Mus musculus: one gene and its partners. The protein of the gene in region 2 interacts with the protein of the main gene of each other region in a pairwise test. Links are inferred from orthologs where the notes say so. Each region holds a gene or a part of one and is shown on either strand. Other genes may lie near its edges.

Region 1 (5,287 bases), on a different chromosome or scaffold from region 2:
GCATCCCTCGTGATTCTAAAAAAATAAAAACTTCCAATAGAGTGGAGGCTCGAAAGGGAGAGGTAATTAGCATGGCATGTCCCTCATTAGTTTTCACACCAGGACACCATGGTGTTCCTGGTCAGTTTGCATTCTTTCTCAGAACAAGAGCAAATCAGATGACGGGAAGTATCGTGGAATTCCATCCGAGTGAATACATAGACTGAAACCTAAAGTATATCGTAAAAGGAGAATCCGAAAATCCATTTGTCAGAGCCGAGGACAAAGGCAACGAACGATACCCAGACGTCTTTAAGTGGCATGTCTTAAAAGATGTATTCAGTGAGGAAAACTAAGTCTAATGGAATTTCCTCTCATTACTTAAAATAAACCAGGTCACTGAGATGGGGCTGCATTATGGGATTCTGTTCTTTTTGATTCCAGCTTCATTTCATCACACCATGAATTCCCTTGGAAATCCGTAGGCACCTTAGTCACTGTAACTCCGGCATTTCAGTATATGGACTTTTGTTTGATTCTAATCACCATCATCACCATCACCATCATCACCATCATCACCATCATCATCATGTGGGCACACTGCTCCCAGTTGTTTTTGTTTTTTGTTTATTTTTTTTTAAACTTATGTCAAGAGCTCTCAGGATGAAGTATCTTTGTGGCTATAAGCTAAAGGTGTAAAATATATTGCATGATCTGATGGAAAGTTTCATGCAGAAAACCCAGAAAAGGCCTAGCCTACACATATCAAAGCCAAGCTAACTTCCTAGATTACAGTAAAAATCTCTTCCTACTTCCCCAAACCACTGAAGTTAAATATACCTCGCTGTATTAAGTTCAGCTGTAACTACAACTGTAACATACATTCAACTGAACCATGACCCATTTTTTTTTTTTGTCTCAGAAGTGAAAGGGGAATTATGACAGTTATGAGACTTGCATTTTTTCCATTTCAAGATCCTTCTGAACAGATTTCAGCAAGGCCCCTCATGACATTTATTTGCTTTGCAACATATTTATCTATACCATTGCTTAGGAGACAGCATTTTAATAACTCGCTGATAACAATTATATTTTTCACCTACTTTTCAAAGGAAACAAAGCAAGAGGCTTTTGGCAAGGAAAAATGGTAATATGTAATATGATACCTAAGTCCAAAATTCAATTATAACTACATGCTATAACTACTTAGAAGACACCAACCATTCACACAACAAATACAACATTAACATATATAAATAAATGTGGTTTAAAATACCCACCCCTAGCAGAAAGCTTTTTGGTGTTGATAATTTTGGCAGCATACTCTTGTCCAGTAGGGATTTTCATACATCTTCTCACCACTGAGAACGCCCCCCTGGAAACCAATAATTAGCAAGTCGTCAGTATAATCAGATCTAGTATCCACTTGCAAACTCACAAATCTGAGCGGTTTCATGAACCTTTAGTGGTCTGTCAAATAGCAACATAATAAAAGCATTATCTAGAAAATAAACAATTCTTTCCTGCCAGCCCAGATCTTTTTTAATGTTGTGGAATGAAAGTCGTTTTTAATTGACTGGAAACACGCAGATTATTAATCAACAAAATAGAAGGTAATGCCAATTATGACCACTCTTTTTTGCACATGAAATTTGAAAACAATTTGTAATTCACACTCACAAAACACCAAATGCTCATAGCAAACCCTGCAAAGGACCGAGCTGGGGAACAGAAGAAAAAAAAAAAAAAACTGTTTATTTCGGTAGGAAACATAATTAACGTGGTTCCAACTAAGTAAATATGGCGATTGTTTTCATTAAAACATAAATCTCGAGCTCACTGGTGTGCTTTAACAGGTTCTGGGGTAAGGTGATTTCTCTCTGCCTGGTTTGGGCTTGGGGGGAGGGGAGAGATTTAAATTAAGCTGCTCTTCCGACATACTCCATGTTTCAACAGCAGATCATCTATAAAGATATCATTTTCATTTGATTTAAAAGTGCTCACACTTCCTTTTATGCAACTGTAAGGAAACCTACAGCACACACACACACACACACACAAATGCATCCCTTCCCTGATAGTGGAAATTAGCGATAGGTTTGGGGTTTGATGCTCGGTAAACCAACACTCCCTCCTGACTGAGTCTCTAGTTGCCCCTGTGCAGATCTTCAGTAGGTACCCTGTCCCTCCTTAACATCTCAAGGAAGTCCTGCCACTTCAGTGGAGGAGGTCGTTTTACACAAGCTAGGCTACCCTGGGGAAACGCTCTCTCGGGCTCTAGGGCTTTCCTCTGCCTGGATAAATAAATCCTCTCAGAGACGATGTACACCTAAATCCTAGAATGATGGTGAGCGACTCATCTTAGTGCAAAGAAGGATAGCGGATACATGGCAGGGACGTGGGTTCTGTTGGGTGGCCCTTTTCCTGAACGGAACAACTACTTGGATGCCGAACCAGACTCTCCACCAAGCCAAGTTGAACTTTCGGCATCGATAAATATGGCACCATCTCAGAGAGCGAGTGTTCTCTCGTTAGCTCATCCGAACCTGGGTCAGATCGCAGATACAGCGCGGGCTGAGCAAGAGACATCTATTTACCAAAAATGTGATAAATGTTGCATTTTACATGCATCTCCTTTCCTCTCCGAACACACATACACACACATTCGCACTCGCGTGCGCGCACACTTCTCAGGATGACAGCTACAACTGCAGAGATCATAAATTCACTAAGTCCCCCGTGGAGAGGTGGAGGACCCGAGAAGATGGGCTGGGAATTCGGAGCACCCGCCACAGTAGGGCAAAGGTTTCCTTCCCTGTGTGCCCCACCCGCACCAAGCCAGGGTCCGTCTCCCCGCCTCGGCCCGCAGGCTCTCTATCCCCACGAGGGAGACGAGGGGTCGTGGGGAGGAGGAGATGCCAGGCAGGGACGCTTACTTTCCGAGCTCCTCAAAGAGCTGATACTCGTCGGTGAACCGGGTGCAGGTGGTGGTCGAAGCCATGGCGGGGTCTGGACAGTGCGACGGGCGACACGCGAACAGACCTGGCTTCCCGGGACTGGCGCCGCCGCGCTGTCACCCGGGGCCGCCCTCACTTTCCGTGTCCGAAAGTAGCTCGCCGGCGAGGGAGTGCGCGCAGGGGCGGGGCGCGCGGGGCGAGGTGGCCAGACCAGCCCGCTCCGCGATCCCTTGTCCTCTCCTCCTCCCGCCGCGGTGGCCGGGCCGAGGGCTCCCGAAGGGGCGGGGGAGAGGTGTCAGGAGGGGTTGCCGCGGTCACCGAGGCCGCACGGAGAGCTCAACGCAGCGCCCGGAGTGGCGGGCGGCAGCGGCCGAGTGAACACCCAGCCGGTCGTTCCAGCGGGCAGAGGAGGCGCTGGTGGCCCGCGCTCCCTCCTCTCCACGGGGCCGCAAGGCTGGGAACCCGCGGGGCGACAGAGTGCGCTCGCTCGGCTCGGGCGAAGCTGGCAGCCGCGGCTCCTCCCCGGCGCCTCCTCCCTCCTCTCCCCGCCCAGCGAAGCCCCCTCCTCGGCGGCCCCACACCTCCCTCTAGCGACTCCAGCCGCGTCCCTTCGGGCTGCTCTCCCGCAGCCGTCTAGGGAGACCGAAGGGAGATGCGCGGAGCAGCAGGGAGCGCGCTTAAGGGGACGGGACTGAGATGTCGCAGTGACCCACGAAGGGCGGAAAGATGAGAGACCACTCGAAGCTCCCACAACCCGGATGCCTCTACCCGGGCGGGATGGCCGCGAGGCCGGGGAAGCCGAGAGAGGGAAGCAACCCTTGCATCTGGGCGCGGTTCGCGTTTACTGCTCCCAGACCCGGGTCCAACGTCCCCCGGCTCGCAGCTACTGCCTGGGGCTGCCAGCCTTGGCCACCTCTGCTGCGCCCGGCTGTCCCTTAGCTAGGGGCAAAGATGGTCAGGGCACCACGTTTCGCTTCAGTTTTTACTGTCACGTCTTCGCCCTTCTCTCCCCTTTTCCCGACTAGGGCGATCCCCATAAGCATTTGCTTGATCATAAACTCTAACATAATGAAACCCAAAAGTGCACCACTCTGCCACACCTTCCTTCCTCTCCAGAGTAACTCCCCTGTAACCTCAGCAAGTTCTGATAGTAAGAAGGCTTCTCGCGAGATGTCCCACGCCAGTGGCGAGGGGGTGGGGCGGTAGGAAGGTTGGCTGTGGGTCACGCGACCCAGAGGGGGCTGACGTCATTAGCGTCACGTGAGCGTGCCTAGCCTGTTTCGCGTTGCCGAGGGAGAAGGGAGAGGGAGGGTGGGAGTTCTTTACCTGCATTCTCAAAGAGCAGGCCAAGTAGGGGCACAGGAGTGTACTCCCTCAGTGGCTATCTGGAAAACCATTTAAGAGTTCAAGAACGTGTGTACAGTTAAGCATATCTGACACTGTTGCTTAAAAATTAGCATGGAGAAAAAAAATTAGCATGTAAGATGGGTTAAGGTGTAAGTGGTGGCTAAGATCATTTCTGAGCCTTCTTTTCACTTCTGAGTCTTTAATAAACGAGGCAATTGCAGATTTAGAGGCCTACGGAAAATAGAGACGCATCATGAACTTTTAAAAAATTTTCTTCAGACTGTTGCTTTTTGTTCTACAGCAGGAAACCATAAAATCCTGCATTTCTATTGCTTATGTGCTCGTGCTTAGAATCACATCGTGCACTTAAAATTTCACAGTGGGAAGATGATAGATAACTTTCAGTTAGGGAGCCTGTACATGCTTTTAGGGCGGCTATAAGTTACTACTTTGCAGGTTCTTTTATTCCCTGTTCTAAAGAATGCTGAGTGGCCTTTGAACTGAAGTACTCAGACGGCCATATAATTTTTAAATGCTTTTTTTTGTTATAGATTTTGCAAATATTACTCATACTTCTAATAGCCCTCTCCCACTCAACACAAGAAAATACTTTTTGAATTTAGTCATCATTCAATGTCTGCATTGTTTTGCCCATGAAAATGTCATTTACTGGCCTGTTTTACTATAATTTTCCCTTCAATTTTACTTACATCATTTGATATTCTGCCCACGCACTAGATTCCTAGTGCTGATTTTTGACGTTGCCAAGCACGTGGGATCAGCACACGTCCCGCTTTGTCTTGTATTGTTCCTACCTGGGGGCCTCTGCTGTTCAGTTGTCATTGTGGGACACCCTTGGAAGCTTATTGAAGTTCCTCTGTGGTTTTTATATAGCTTTGATTCCTTTTTGTTTTTAAAAGCAAATTTTGTTTTTTATGTCCTTAAATTTGAACATTTTTATTTGATTGGAATAGTCTCAGTGTGTCTCTCTTAAATGGCATGGA
Region 2 (4,494 bases):
AGTCTCGCCAGTCATTTCAGAAAGGCTTCACTTTCGGGGGTTGGCATCACCTGAGAGTTGTCAGTGGCAGCTTCTGCCCTCCCTGCCATCCTTTATTAATGAGTGGTGTGTGCATTGGCCACAATGTCGAGTTCTGCCGGGTGGCTCCATTGCCCTCAGGCCTCAGATGAAGATACTGTGGATTTCATTATTCCAAACCAATTTATTGTAATGTGAGCATTAGTTCCAATGTCCATATACTTGCTTACTTAAGCAAACATTCCCTGATGTTCTGCATATGAGCTTGCACATACTCACATTCATGTAGTAGACAGGTGTGCACACCCATATACATAGACATGGGCCAACAGAGGATATCAGATACTCTGTTCTTTTACTCAAAGGATCTGGAGCTAGGCTGGTAGCCAGCAAGTCCTGAGATCTCAACTGATTACTGTCATTACAGGTGTACCACTACACCTGTCTTTTTATGTATGTACTGGGAACTGAACTCAGGTCTTCATACTGGTCGAGCAAAGCACTCTTACCAACTGAGCCATCTCCCTAGGCCCCACCCTCATATCTCTAATTGTCAGTAGCATCCCCTCTCCCGATACAGAGGCTTTCAGGACTTGGTTATTTGATCCCCATCACCGTCCTTCTCACTGCCTGCTTCCCCACTCTGGCCTTTCTTCTGTTACTACACCAGGACTGCAATACCTCTAGCCAAGAATCTTTGCTCCAGGTAACTGGAGGCCACGCCCTGTTTAGCTGGTCCAAGTGGCTGTGATCCCAGCTACTTAGGAACCTGAGACAAGATCTGCATGTTCAGGTCTTGCCTTGGGGCCTTAACTCAAAAGGTTAGGAAAGCAACAACAACAACAAAATAGGGCCGGGGATTTAGTTCAACAGGAGAATGCTTGCCCACCGCGCATAGGGCCCTGAGTTCAGTCTTTTGTACTATGAAATAAAAGTACTTGAAAGACAATTTACTCTCCTGAGGGCTTGCCTTGTGGCTACCCACATCTTGAGCTTATGCATCTTCACTTCATACCCCTCTCCACTTGTAAAAGCAGTGATTTGGGGCGGATTCCTATAACCTGGAACAGTTGTCTCGTAGTGAGGCTATGTGCAGAATAGGCAAGGACGACTTGAAGAGGGCCTGTCACTCTACAATGGAGTGCGTACTTGGCATTCATGAGGCCTGGGTTTTGTCCCCAGCACCCCAAAGAGAGGCTCAGGGTGCCATGCAGAACATGCATGGGAGAGGAAAGAAAGCTGGTGAGCCAGTCCCTTGGTGGGGATGGTTGAGGGACCAGTAGACCCTTGCTCAGCCTGACTGGCCTCCTCTCCCTGGCTGCCCCAGGCATTCTCATCACCACCATCGCTTCCAAGGGTGAGCTGCAGATGTGGCCAGAGCTGCTGCCTCAGCTGTGCAACCTGCTCAACTCAGAGGATTATAATACCTGTGAGGTAGGTGATGGGCAGTACCTGGCCTGACCCAAGCAGGGACTACAGCTTAGAGTCGGCTCACAGCCATCCATCTCTCTGCTTAGGGAGCCTTTGGAGCCCTACAGAAGATCTGTGAAGACTCCTCGGAGCTTTTGGATAGTGATGCTCTCAACAGGCCCCTCAACATCATGATCCCTAAATTCCTGCAGTTTTTCAAGCACTGCAGCCCTAAGATCCGGTACGTGATGTTCCTCAGAGCAGAATGGTCTTAGAGTTGGTAGGCAGACGCAGGAGTTCATATGTGAGCCTTGCCTTCACTGCCTACTAGGTCCCACGCCATCGCCTGTGTGAACCAGTTCATCATGGACCGGGCCCAAGCGCTGATGGACAACATTGACACTTTCATTGAGGTGGGTCACCAGGCTCCAGGTGGATAGGGTGAGGCTAAGGGGTCCTCAGGCAGCTGACCTTTCCCTTTTACACAGCACCTGTTTGCCTTGGCTGTGGATGATGACCCTGAGGTGAGAAAGAACGTGTGCCGGGCCCTTGTGATGCTTTTGGAAGTGCGAATTGACAGGCTCATCCCTCACATGCACAGCATCATCCAGGTGCGAATGCTCAATACCAAGGGCTAGTGGGTGGCTTGGGATGGGGAATCCCCCGCAGTTGAGCTAGGTCTCAGCCTCTCTCTGTTGCCCAGTACATGCTGCAGAGGACCCAGGACCATGATGAGAACGTGGCCCTGGAGGCCTGTGAGTTCTGGCTGACGCTAGCCGAGCAGCCCATCTGCAAGGAAGTCCTGGCCTCTCATCTGGTCCAGTGAGTACTCATACCCCATGCCCTCAGCCTCTAGTCCTCCCTGGACCTGTCCCTTCTCCTGGATGCTTTGCTTACTGTATCTTATGTGGTTTAAGTCAGTTTTCTTTGAATCCTGTGTACACTGATTTTTATGGGGTGTAACCTTAATGACTTTAAAAATTAGGTAACAGAAACCAAGTGTGGTGGCTCATGCATGTCACTTAGGAGGCTAAGCTTGGATTATAGCCACAAATGCTGTGTAACGAGTTCCAGGCCAGCCTGGGTTACATAATGAGACCCTGTCTCTAAGAACAGCTAGAAGACAAAAAGAGAAGAAACAACCCTTAAGCAGATGAAGGCTTCATCATGGCTGCTCGAGATGCTTAAGAGAATGGCATCTACGTTAATTCCAGGCACGGCCCTCCTGGATAAGCGATGCTGTAGCTCTGGCTTGCTTTTTTCTTTCTGATTTTGAGTCAGGGTTTCTCCATGTAGTATAGCCATGGCTGTCCTGGAACTCGCTCGGTAAACTAGGCTGGCTTAGAATTTAAAGGGATCCTGCCTCTGCCTCCGGAGTGCTGGGGTTAAAGGCTGTGCCTACGACTGTAGGCTCTGGTGTTCTTCAGTTTAGGAGTTCAGAGTCTCTTGGGTGGTACTTTAACAAGAGCTTACTTTTTGGGTTTTTGAGACAAGTGGGCCTAGAACTTAAGTGCTAGGGTTAGAGGCATGTGGCACCATGACTGGTTTGAGCCCCCTTGTGTTGACCATTTTGGATCACTTGGCTATCTCAGATTATTGATAGCAAGTAGGAGTTGTGGCTAGAGGGACAGAGGACTTTGAGGAGGATTGAGACTCTTGCAAACAGGGACAGGAAGGTTGTATCAGTTTTCTTTTTCTTTTTCTTTTTTTTTTTTCTTTTAAGATTTATTTATTATTCATTAGTACACTGTAGCTGTCTTCAGATGCATCAGAAGAGGGCATCAGGTCTCATTATGGGTGGTTGTGAGCCACCATGTGGTTGCTGGGATTTGAACTCAGGTTAAGTCAGTGCTCTTAACCGCTGAGCCATCTCGCCAGCTGTATCAGTTTTTGTGTTTAAAGCTGTGTGCAACCATGCTCTCTACTGTTTCTGCCAGCAGCCTGCCCGGCAGCTTTGTTTGCAGGGTCTGAACAATGGGTCAGATGTTTGTGTTTTGTGTAGTGCTAGGGAACAGCATTGCTGAAGGTCTTCAGGGTTCTGGCATTCATGTGTGCATTCATGTTTGGGTCAAGAGGCTGTGTGGTGCTACTTGTCGCTGAGTGATAGATGGGGCAGCTGGATGTGGCAGTAAACACTTGTAATCACAGTATTGGAGGTTGAGGCAAAAAGATCATGTTCTTTTTATTTTTTAAACATTTTTGTTATTATTTACTATTACTTTTAAATCAGTATTTTGCTTGCATGTATGTATGCCTGTACCACATGTGTGCAATGCCCACAGAGGCCAAAGGAAGGTATTGTGTTCCTTGGGGCTGGAGTTAGAGCAAGTCATGATCGTGACTGCTGAGCTATCTCTCCAGCCTCAAGAAGGTGTATGATTTCTAGGCCAGTCATGGCTTCACAGACCGTTTCAAAAGAGGGAGAAAACTGTGTCTCCTACTCATGGCTGAAAATATGTTGCTCATTCCCTGAAGGGAAGTGAACAGAAACAGGACAGAGGAATATGGGTGTGTTGAGCATAGTCTGCCACTTGCTCCGTACTCCTATTCACACCTCTGCTTTCTTTTCAAGATGGGTACCTAGCCAGAGTCCCTGCATCCTTACAACCAGTCTCTTTCCCAATAGGTTGATCCCTATCCTCGTGAATGGGATGAAGTACTCTGAAATTGACATCATCCTTCTTAAGGTCAGCCAAGGGGCATCCACAGCTGACTGTGGGTGGCCAAGACCATTGGGTATTGGGTTGGAGGTCTCCAGCCAGTGCTGAGAGAAATATGCCTGGGCTGGTCCCTAGGGGGATGTGGAGGAGGACGAGGCGGTACCTGACAGTGAGCAGGACATCAAGCCCCGGTTCCACAAGTCACGCACAGTGACATTGACTCACGAGGCTGAGCGGCCTGATAGCTCTGAGGATGCTGAGGACGACGATGATGACGACGCTTTGTCGGACTGGAATCTGAGTAGGTAGTAGGCTGGCTCCTGGGGGAGGGGGAGAAGCGGGTGGGGAGCACTTTATGAAGAACTGGTCTCAGGGCTGAATACCTGCCCCACAGTCCTCCCTAAGC
Region 3 (4,494 bases), on a different chromosome or scaffold from region 2:
TAAGGAATCTCCTGTGCTTCCCATTACCGAGGCCTTCTGAGAAAACAATCCATTGCCTTTGTAAATTCAGCTCAGCTGAAGTGTCGCGCCAGGCGGGCAGATCTATAGTCAGCACGAAGTTGTACAAAGGAGTGGAGTATGTTCTTGTCCAGATTGGCAAGTTGTTCTCCCGAGCAGACTTGTTTTAAATTATCTGGAGCCACGACCAGGAGATTGCAAAGTGCATGCAGAGTATCAAAAAGATGTAATACCATTGGAATCTGAATGGAGAGAGGGAAGGAAGCACTGAACCACAGCAGTTTATTTTCCTATGCGCTCTGCAAAGTCTTCTCACATCTTGCTAGTCAGAACTTAATAACATGGGGAAGTTGCCTCCTATGTTAGAATTTCTTAAAGCTTCTGAAGAGCTAAAACTCAAAGGTTTCCATAGCTAAAAGTTTTAACCATTAAAAAGATTCATATTGGGCTAGAGAGAGATGGCTCAGTGATTAAGAGCAATGACTGCTCTTCTGAAGGTCCTGAGTTCAATTCCCAGCAACCACATGGTGGCTCACAACCATCCGTAATGAGATCTGACACCCTCTTCTGGTGTCTGAAGACAGCTACCGTGTACTTACACATAATAAGTAAATAAATCTTTGGGCCGGAGAAAGCGGGGCTGAAGCGAGTTCAATTCCCAGCAACCACATGATGGCTCAGAAACATCTGTACAGCTACAGTGTACTCATATACATAAAATAAATAAATCTTTAAACAAAAGATTCATATTACTCAGTTTTTCAATAATTTGTAACTTGGTACACTAGAACTAATTATCTTTAGTATAACACCTTTAAAAATAATTTAAACAAGCTGGGCGTGGTGGCGCACACCTTTAATTCTAGCACTCGGGAGGCAGAGGCAGGCAGATTTCTGAGTTCAAGGCCAGCCTGGTCTACAGAATGAGTTCCAGGACAGCCAGAGCTACACAGAGAAACCCTGTCTTGAAAAACCTAAATAAATAAATAATAATAATTTAATCATTAGGGAAAACTGATTTTCGATAAACATACATGAAAAAGGAGTATCATTTTCCTAATGTGTGACATAAACATCATCCATCATGGATGTTAAAAGGACTATCTCGATGGAATGTGCTGAAATATGACCTTATCTAAAATGAAGTCCCAACTGGAAAAATGTTCATATTGAGATGTAACTGGTAGACTATATTAAAGCTGTCTCTTAATGCTGCCAGCGAAATCACACATTTCCAGTACAGGCTTTTAATGGTACAGCTTCTGTTTCTGAGCTTACTTGCAAGCGTAACTAATTTGTTTATATGTACCTTGAAGTCTTTGGCACATTTTCTATACTCAGCCACGTCGCAAATTGCAAGCATGCCACCCATACAACTATAGGAATATTGTTGAAGATGTTCATAAATAAGCCGATGAAAACGTACTCCAAGTTCCATCAGAACTGTGTCCACATTCTTCCCATCCATGGAATTTTTAATCTTCTCAACTTGTTTTCTTACATAAACACAAACTTTTACACATGCCTGTAAAAGTTTTTCTACAGTTATTACACAGATATGTAAATACAGTTTTCCAACTTCTAAGTATAAGAAAAACAACACTTAAAGCACAACTATGTTGAAGGATATTTGATCACACTGTGAACCCTAAGACCGTGAACTGGAAAAATCTGTTTCATATCGTGGTGTGGCTCAGCCCTAGCACACACCTTTAACCCAAGGGCTTTCTGTTTACTATTAAACAAGTAGTTGTGGTGTAGCTCATTCCCAGCAATCACCTTAACTCTAAGAATTCTTTGTAAATAAGAGCTAAATAAATAAAGTCAACAATAGGTCGAGAGGTGGAGCACCAACCACTTGATAGGGAGTGAACACAAGGAAGCAGGAACGGTGTTTAGACAGTGGAGAATGAGGGCTTTTGCAGCTGAGGATGGAGGGCAGCTGGGTGCTTCCTGTGCTTCTCTGAGCTAGCAGGGTCTTCATTTGGTAAAACTGAACATTAGGTATTTTGTTTTTAAAAACAGCACAACAGGTGCACTAATGCGTGTACAAGAATGAAGAAAGAAGATAATATATTAGTTCCACTCACATTAGTATACTGAATCAAAACATTGTTCTCATCTTCTGGCTTAAAATCTGTTTTCTTTTGTTCTGCAGCCAAGATATGCTTCATCTGTCCAATCATACAATTTAATGTCCTAAAGATTGAGAACACAACATATATGACTCACTTAACTCGCTCAATTTTACCTACGGATTATACGGAATTAAGTTAAATTATTTAATTGCCTATCATCACAAAACCACTTTGGAATTGACAAACTAGATTTTGGGGGGAAAAGGTCATTCTGTGACTTGATATCAACTTGATATTCTGGTTTTATCATCTTTCTCCTTAGAAAAGATCTTATAACCTAGCACTAATCATTTCCTTCACATCTAAGGATCTTCTCAGGCAAACCCGTGCATAGGGAATACTTAGGAAAGTGGAAGGATAAACGGCTCAAAGAGAACGGCTGTGGAAGCTGGCACATTCAATCCCACAGTCAACAGGCAATCAGGAAGACAGTACTGAGATTCTAGCTGACAATAAAGGCACTGGTTAAAAAGTACCAATAATATCTAACCTATGTGATTCCTCAATAGTGAGCAATCACTCAGCTTATGCAAATAAAAAGACTACACTAATTTAGAGTTAAGGGGCTGCAAGACAGAGTAGTCAAAAGATAAGTTTCATGTTAAATTAAAGAGACGGATCACATAATTAAGCACAACAATAATGAGGTCAAGTTACAAAATGACAGTAGGCCAACATAAGATGGTGGGATGTAGTGAATCCTTCACATCTGTGAGCTCTACTACTTTTCAATCAGTGTAAGAACATCATATTCTCAAAACAGAAACCTGGAAAGTAATTATCTTCAGTCAAAGTTTTAAAATTCATTTAACATAAGTTACATTTACAAAATCAGTACAATTACTACAAAACTTCATAGATAAGGCTGAAGCCACTAAGTGGAAATATAGTCCTAAATACTACAAGTCTTTGTTGGTTCAGCAGCACTGATAAGTGCAGGGCTTCCCACATGCTAGCAATACTCTACCCCTGGTCTATATCCCCAGCTTGGCATCTCTGTTTTTAAAGGAATTTGTAGCCTGTACATGTTTGATGCAAATGAGTGGGGCTTAAAATATGAATTTGATTTGAAATATATTTAAACATACTGATTTCCAGGGGGGGAAAATTCTCTTATAGATGAGAACAGTACATTAAAGAATCAACTCTAAAAACTCTGTTCATGCTGCTATGCAAATGTGATTCTACAAGTTTTAAAAAAGCAGGAGATAAAAAACAGTTAACTTACCTATCAATGCCAGTATCCAATTTCATCTCCATCTGCTCAATTATCTCTTTTTTCTTCTGGAGGCATTCAGATAACTTAGGAGAAGAGCTATTGTTTATTACAAAGGGGGAAAAAACAAACAAACCCTCCCATTAGTAGCCCATTTGACAAGTTTATAATTTATATATTGTGTATTCATATTTGTAAATAATACTAACACCTGTTATTTTCATTTGCTCATAAATCCAATAATTACAAAATAAATCATTGCTTGCAATTATATATATTAATATATTCTATTCATTCAAACTAGAAAAATTAACCCATTAAAAACCAAGAAAAGACAGACATATTATTCTGATCTCTAAGGAAATAGCACTTGACATAATCATGCAGCTTTGAATTTGAAACTAGTTTCCTGTGTATCTAAATATCTGATAGAATAGTAATAAAAGTCACGGGTATCACCAGACTCTTACAAATATAATAAATCCAACTAATAATATGGACAGTAGAAAGTAAATTCAGTTACATTTAACTTTTTAAAATAAAACACACAAAACCTTCCAAATACTATTAAAATGTCCAAAAGCCTCAAAATATTAAAGAATAAACAACACTAAAACTCCTATGACTCTATGTTATGCGGCATAATAGTTCTTTTAAAAAGTAAATTAATAAGAACTAGCTAGGCTTGGTGGCTCATGTCTGTAATACCCACCTGAGTTACACAGAAAAACAGTAAACTTCCTTTCAAAGTCTGATTTGGGAATCACAAATGATCTTTGAACTTGTTTCTGGTCTAGACATGGCATAATACTGTTTATAAAGTCTATCAAACTCATTTATCTCAACATTTCTTGCATAGATAACAGTGCTAAGAAAACAACTTCGTGAAATATGTTCATATGTATATAATTCTAATTTTCAAATGCCTTAAAAGTCCATATAAATTGATATGAAATATGATCCAAATCCTAGTGCTTTATCAAAATATGTTCATTCCTGTTTCCTGTAATCTTTACAAGTGTATCATGTCTACTGGTGTTCATGTGCATATATGTATTATAACATAATTACAATATTTGTCAATTCCCTTTCTTCCCTGAAAATCCTACATACCTCTCCTAG
Region 4 (4,494 bases), on a different chromosome or scaffold from region 2:
TATGTTTATGCCAGAGTCCTCCCAGAGGAAAGCCGAGGTCCAGATGTGTGCTGGTGTTTTAAGGTGAAAGAAAGGAAGACATGGAAATAAATGGAGCTACTGTTAGGCATAAGTACGCATTTCTGTGGCACAAAAGTGAAATGTCTTCAAAGTGGGATGAAAGCTATTCACACTTTCATGTCTAATATATTCTGAATGTCACTGCGTCTGTTTCTGCCATACCATAGCGTCTCTTCTATTCATTGTGATTCTTTAGCTTCATGCTATATAGGTGTTACGCTCACTGAGAGCCAACTCTAACAACAGCTGAAAGGCACCATTGGCATCCAGGGGTGCAATAGACAGTAAGCTCTCCCTTTCTGTCCGTTCCAAAGGTAACATTTCCACGTTCACACTCTTGGGCCGCACAGGTTAAATGGCTGCACCTGAAAGTCAGCAGATGTGTGGCTGCCAGGGCTCCGTTACTTCCCTGTAATGGTATCTTCCTGATCTGAGTGGCTGAGGAGGACAATAGCAGCACTGCCCGCCATTGGTGTGCTGTAGCAGGGAGCTGGCTAATGGCTCTAATACCTCAATACTGGGGAAAGACAAAAGGAGAGGGGGATCTATAATAATAGACCATTTTCGGTAATGTTTGCAATTTGTTGCGCAAATTTGGTCTTAATGATTGGAACACTGCAGGAGTCTCCCCATTAGTTGTATTTAATATGTAATTAAAATATCATTTATGTTCCCCAAAAAGGAAATAGCAAATTATATGGGGCATAGAATTTTTTTGGCTAGATTCCTTGAGAAGAGTAAAGAAATCCATTTTATTATTAACTTTTAAGTAATTAATTTGTGTTCAAGAACTTTAACTCTTTAAAGTGTAAGGAAGTTCATATTATGTCACATGGTTTTCTGTGGAGTGCTTTTACTGTAGAGACTTTTAAATTTTATTTTTAAATATGTATATATGTGCTCAACTTTGTGTGATATATGCACATGAGTGTAAATGCCCAAGGACTCCCCGGCAGAGATGTTGGCTCCTCTGGAGCTGGAGTAACATTGATTGTGAGCTGACTGACATGGGTGCTAGGAACTGAACTCCAAGCTTCTGCAAGACAGTACGGACCTTAACCTCTGAACCATCTCTCCAGCCCCAACTTTTATGTTATATTGTGTGTGTATCTCTCTGTGTCTCTGTGTGTGTTTGTGTGTGTGTGTGTGTGTGTGTGTGTGTGTGTGTGTGTTGGTAGATAGATATGTGCACATGCAGGTGCCTAAGAAGACCAGAGGCTTCAGTTCAGCCTGGAGATGGAGCTATAGATAGTGAATCACTTGATGTGAGTGGTGGGAACTGAACTCTGGTTCTCCCGAGAACAGGACATGCTCTTAGCTGCCGAGCCATCTCTTTAGCTTTGTGCTGTGTGTTTTATCTTCATTTCATCTCACTTTATTCCTCAAAGTGTGCTTATTTCATGGTTGAGTAAAAGTGGGGCTCAGTGTCTTAGTTAAGATTTCTGTTGCTGTGATAGAACACTGAGCAAAGCACCACGGGGAGGAAAGGGTTAATTTCAGCCTACAACTTATAGTCCATCATCCAGAGAAGTCAGGGCGGGAGTACAAGGCAAGAAGCCAGCTGGAGGCAGGATCTGAAGCAGAGGCTATGGGGGAGTGCTGCTTACTGCTTTTCTCCTTGTGGCTTATATAACCCAGAACCGCCAGCCCAGGGCCAGCACCGCCCAAGGTGAGCTGGGCCCACATCAATCATCAATCAAGAAAATGCACCACAGGCGTGATTATTCACAGGCGACAGGTGGGGTCAATTTCTCATTTGAGGTTCCCTCTTCCAAGATGACTCTAGCCTGTGTCAAGTTGATGTAAAACTAGCCAGCACACTCAGCATCGTGTAAATGGTGAATTAGATATTGTGTAGTTTGACCTTCTTTGCTAACTCCTAAACCTGTGCTGATTTTTACAAAAGCCTGACTTTTTCTCATACTCTGAATTTTTTATTTTGAAGGCTACTTCATCAAATTATCATTCATACCACCAAAAGTATTTATCTATATGCATGCATGCATACATACATACATGCATACTCAAACACAGAGGAAAGAAGAGAGAGGATGGGAGAGAGAGAGAGAGAGAGAGAGAGAGAATAAACCAGAGAATGACAAGTAAATAAATATTGGGAAACACAATTTTAGCTGCCCAGTCTGTTGAAATAATGGTTTTCCTCTGGACTCGGGAATGGTTTTCCCCTTTACCCAGGGCCGCCGTCCATAGTCAGTTATTTCCTGTGCTTTTCTCCGTAGCAAGGGTTTCTTGTTTGCTGAGACTGCAGCCCACCGAGTCTTGAGTTTATTTGGAGGTTTTCTGTGTGGTACAAGTCTGGAGTTTATCTCAGAGTTCTGATGCTGGTCCAGCTATCAGAGTGAAGCCCAGAGAGCCCAGAACTTTTTGCAGGTGGCTTGAAGTGAACGTCAGCTTTGGAGTGCCCTGCCCCCAAGACATTTCCCTGAGGAGTCCTGCGAAGTTCACTTTCCACTTCTGCCACCTCTTTTGAAATATTTGTGAACATGACTGACTAGGCAGTTATTATCTGCTTTCCAGCTAAGGCTACATATCGTACTGCCAAAATGGAGCTCGTTGTTCTTCTCTGCTTGCTTTAGATAGTTTAAACTGTTAAGAGAAAAGCAGGGAAAACTGGGAGTTATTGCAGCTAAACATAAGTAAGGGTTGATGTTCCTTCTGGCCTTTATTCACACGGTTCCGTAAAATGCCTTCGTAGAAAAGGATCATAAGTGCTTCTGAGTAGGATTTGTTTATTGATTGTTATTTGCTTGACTTTAATGGTTTGTCATAGTCACTATTATAATTGAATAAGAAGATATTTAAATCACTTTGGAAAACAACATTTTAAAGATAAAATTGAAACTGCCCCAACACAGACTGTGTTGAACATGTATTGATAGTGAAGTGTCATGTATGGTGTTCTAGCAGGGTGTTCTGTGAAGCACTTAGCTGTGTAGCCCAAAGTGTGGGGTTTGTTTGTTTGTTTGTTTTTAGTACTGGGTTCCACTGCCTTTCTGTTGACGCTGTGTCATAGACCCCTGGCATTTCCCTGCCTTGTTTTTACAGCCAGTTCCATAGAGTTGGGACCCCTGTACTGACCAATCCCAGACTGCCAATTAAGTAAATCCATTTCTAACGATTAAGGAAGTGCCAGCTGGAGTGCACAACTTTAAGAGTCATTTGCAAATCATCATCTTCTCTTTCAGGACAAGGAGCACCCCCGATTCCTGATCCCAGAACTTTGCAAACAGTTTTACCATCTGGGCTGGGTCACCGGCACTGGAGGGGGAATCAGCTTGAAGCATGGGTAAGTTCCTGGCTGATCGCAGCTGTGGGAGTTCTTATTTTAGCAGGCCTCAGGGCTGTGTCCAGACCCAGCTGATAGTCAGTTTAGTGCGGGACTGAAGCCGGATACTTTCTAAATGATCGGTGGATGTCTGCATAGCCTGGTGGAGCCAAGGAGCAGAAGCAACAAGCACAATAAATTCCCAGTTGTTAACTGGGATAATTTGGTCCTCTCTGGAACATCACAGGTAAGAAAAGTAGTTGAAGACTTATTTCAAAAGTTCAAAGAAATATTTAAAAGTCACTTAAATAGAAATTATTAATCATTAAATTCTAATTAAGTTCAAAAATCCATATTTACTAAGTTCAAAACAGGCCATGTGCTGTTTTTGAGCAGAGATATCATGATTAACAGGCCCAGCAATGCTACTATCTACTCCTTTGAGGCACTGGGTTTAAAACAGAAGGACTCATTTTCTGTTGCTCACTGAGTTCAGTGAGTGTCTTGTGGTCAAGCAGATGAGGAGTAAGCTGGAGGAAGCAAGCCTCCTTCTCCCAGGGCTTGCTGAAGTGGGTTGATGTCTTCCCCCTGAAATGTAGGAGTCCTGTTGCTGGAGGCGGGGTTTTATTCTGTATTCTAATTCACCTTTTTTCTTTAGCAAAGTTGGATCACTAAAATATTTATATGCTGAGTGTATGTGTACATGGTATGCATGTGTATACATGTACATATATGTATGTGTATGTATCCGTCAAGGAATCTGCATTTTATAATAGGAAATAGGTTGTAAAATAAAATCAGAACATCTTAAACAAAAGGAATTTTACTCCTTCCCACAAAATAATGACTTTGGAATTTCATCTGCTCCAAATTACAGTGTCCTTCATGAAATATTAATTCAACAGTGGGAAATAGCAAAATGTGACTTAGTCAACAGCTTAGACAGCTGTGGATATAAGAATTCTCTCAGTACAGATAAAGCGTCTTCCCTGATCGCCTGCACGGCCATGTTGCCCTGTGCCTAAGCTCTCAGGTTTCCTTATGCACAATATACCTGAAACTATGAATAATTCATTCCTATCTAAGAAGTCAAGTGCCTGTCTGTAATTTAATTTCCCTGATGTATGATTTATTTCTAAAGGCTGCTT

The links.
Region 1: the proteins of Tnpo2 (region 2) and Camk2d interact in binary tests that used the Homo sapiens proteins (3 or more experiments, as listed by UniProt). The two-hybrid records come from large-scale screens. The link is inferred for Mus musculus from reciprocal best matches to the Homo sapiens genes TNPO2 and CAMK2D.
Region 3: the proteins of Tnpo2 (region 2) and Exoc5 interact in binary tests that used the Homo sapiens proteins (3 or more experiments, as listed by UniProt). The two-hybrid records come from large-scale screens. The link is inferred for Mus musculus from reciprocal best matches to the Homo sapiens genes TNPO2 and EXOC5.
Region 4: the proteins of Tnpo2 (region 2) and Apip interact in binary tests that used the Homo sapiens proteins (3 or more experiments, as listed by UniProt). The two-hybrid records come from large-scale screens. The link is inferred for Mus musculus from reciprocal best matches to the Homo sapiens genes TNPO2 and APIP.

Annotation. Positions count from the first base shown.
Region 1 is NC_000069.6:126,595,133-126,600,419, reverse strand, and holds the start of Camk2d (calcium/calmodulin-dependent protein kinase type II subunit delta), read right to left. Parts: upstream 3,470-5,287; 5' UTR 2,981-3,469; coding exon 2,916-2,980; intron 1,355-2,915; coding exon 1,260-1,354; intron 1-1,259. UniProt on the Homo sapiens protein: Calcium/calmodulin-dependent protein kinase involved in the regulation of Ca(2+) homeostatis and excitation-contraction coupling (ECC) in heart by targeting ion channels, transporters and accessory proteins involved in Ca(2+) influx into the myocyte, Ca(2+) release from the sarcoplasmic reticulum (SR), SR Ca(2+) uptake and Na(+) and K(+) channel transport.
Region 2 is NC_000074.6:85,043,067-85,047,560, forward strand, and holds part of Tnpo2 (transportin-2), read left to right. Parts: intron 1-1,345; coding exon 1,346-1,452; intron 1,453-1,535; coding exon 1,536-1,669; intron 1,670-1,759; coding exon 1,760-1,841; intron 1,842-1,916; coding exon 1,917-2,039; intron 2,040-2,131; coding exon 2,132-2,250; intron 2,251-4,054; coding exon 4,055-4,115; intron 4,116-4,223; coding exon 4,224-4,389; exon of another isoform or gene 4,390-4,393; intron 4,394-4,494. UniProt on the Homo sapiens protein: Probably functions in nuclear protein import as nuclear transport receptor. Serves as receptor for nuclear localization signals (NLS) in cargo substrates.
Region 3 is NC_000080.6:49,014,090-49,018,583, forward strand, and holds part of Exoc5 (exocyst complex component 5), read right to left. Parts: intron 3,472-4,494; coding exon 3,385-3,471; intron 2,218-3,384; coding exon 2,109-2,217; intron 1,544-2,108; coding exon 1,328-1,543; intron 261-1,327; coding exon 72-260; 3' UTR 1-71. UniProt on the Homo sapiens protein: Component of the exocyst complex involved in the docking of exocytic vesicles with fusion sites on the plasma membrane.
Region 4 is NC_000068.7:103,079,689-103,084,182, forward strand, and holds part of Apip (methylthioribulose-1-phosphate dehydratase), read left to right. Parts: intron 1-3,266; coding exon 3,267-3,367; intron 3,368-4,494. UniProt on the Homo sapiens protein: Catalyzes the dehydration of methylthioribulose-1-phosphate (MTRu-1-P) into 2,3-diketo-5-methylthiopentyl-1-phosphate (DK-MTP-1-P).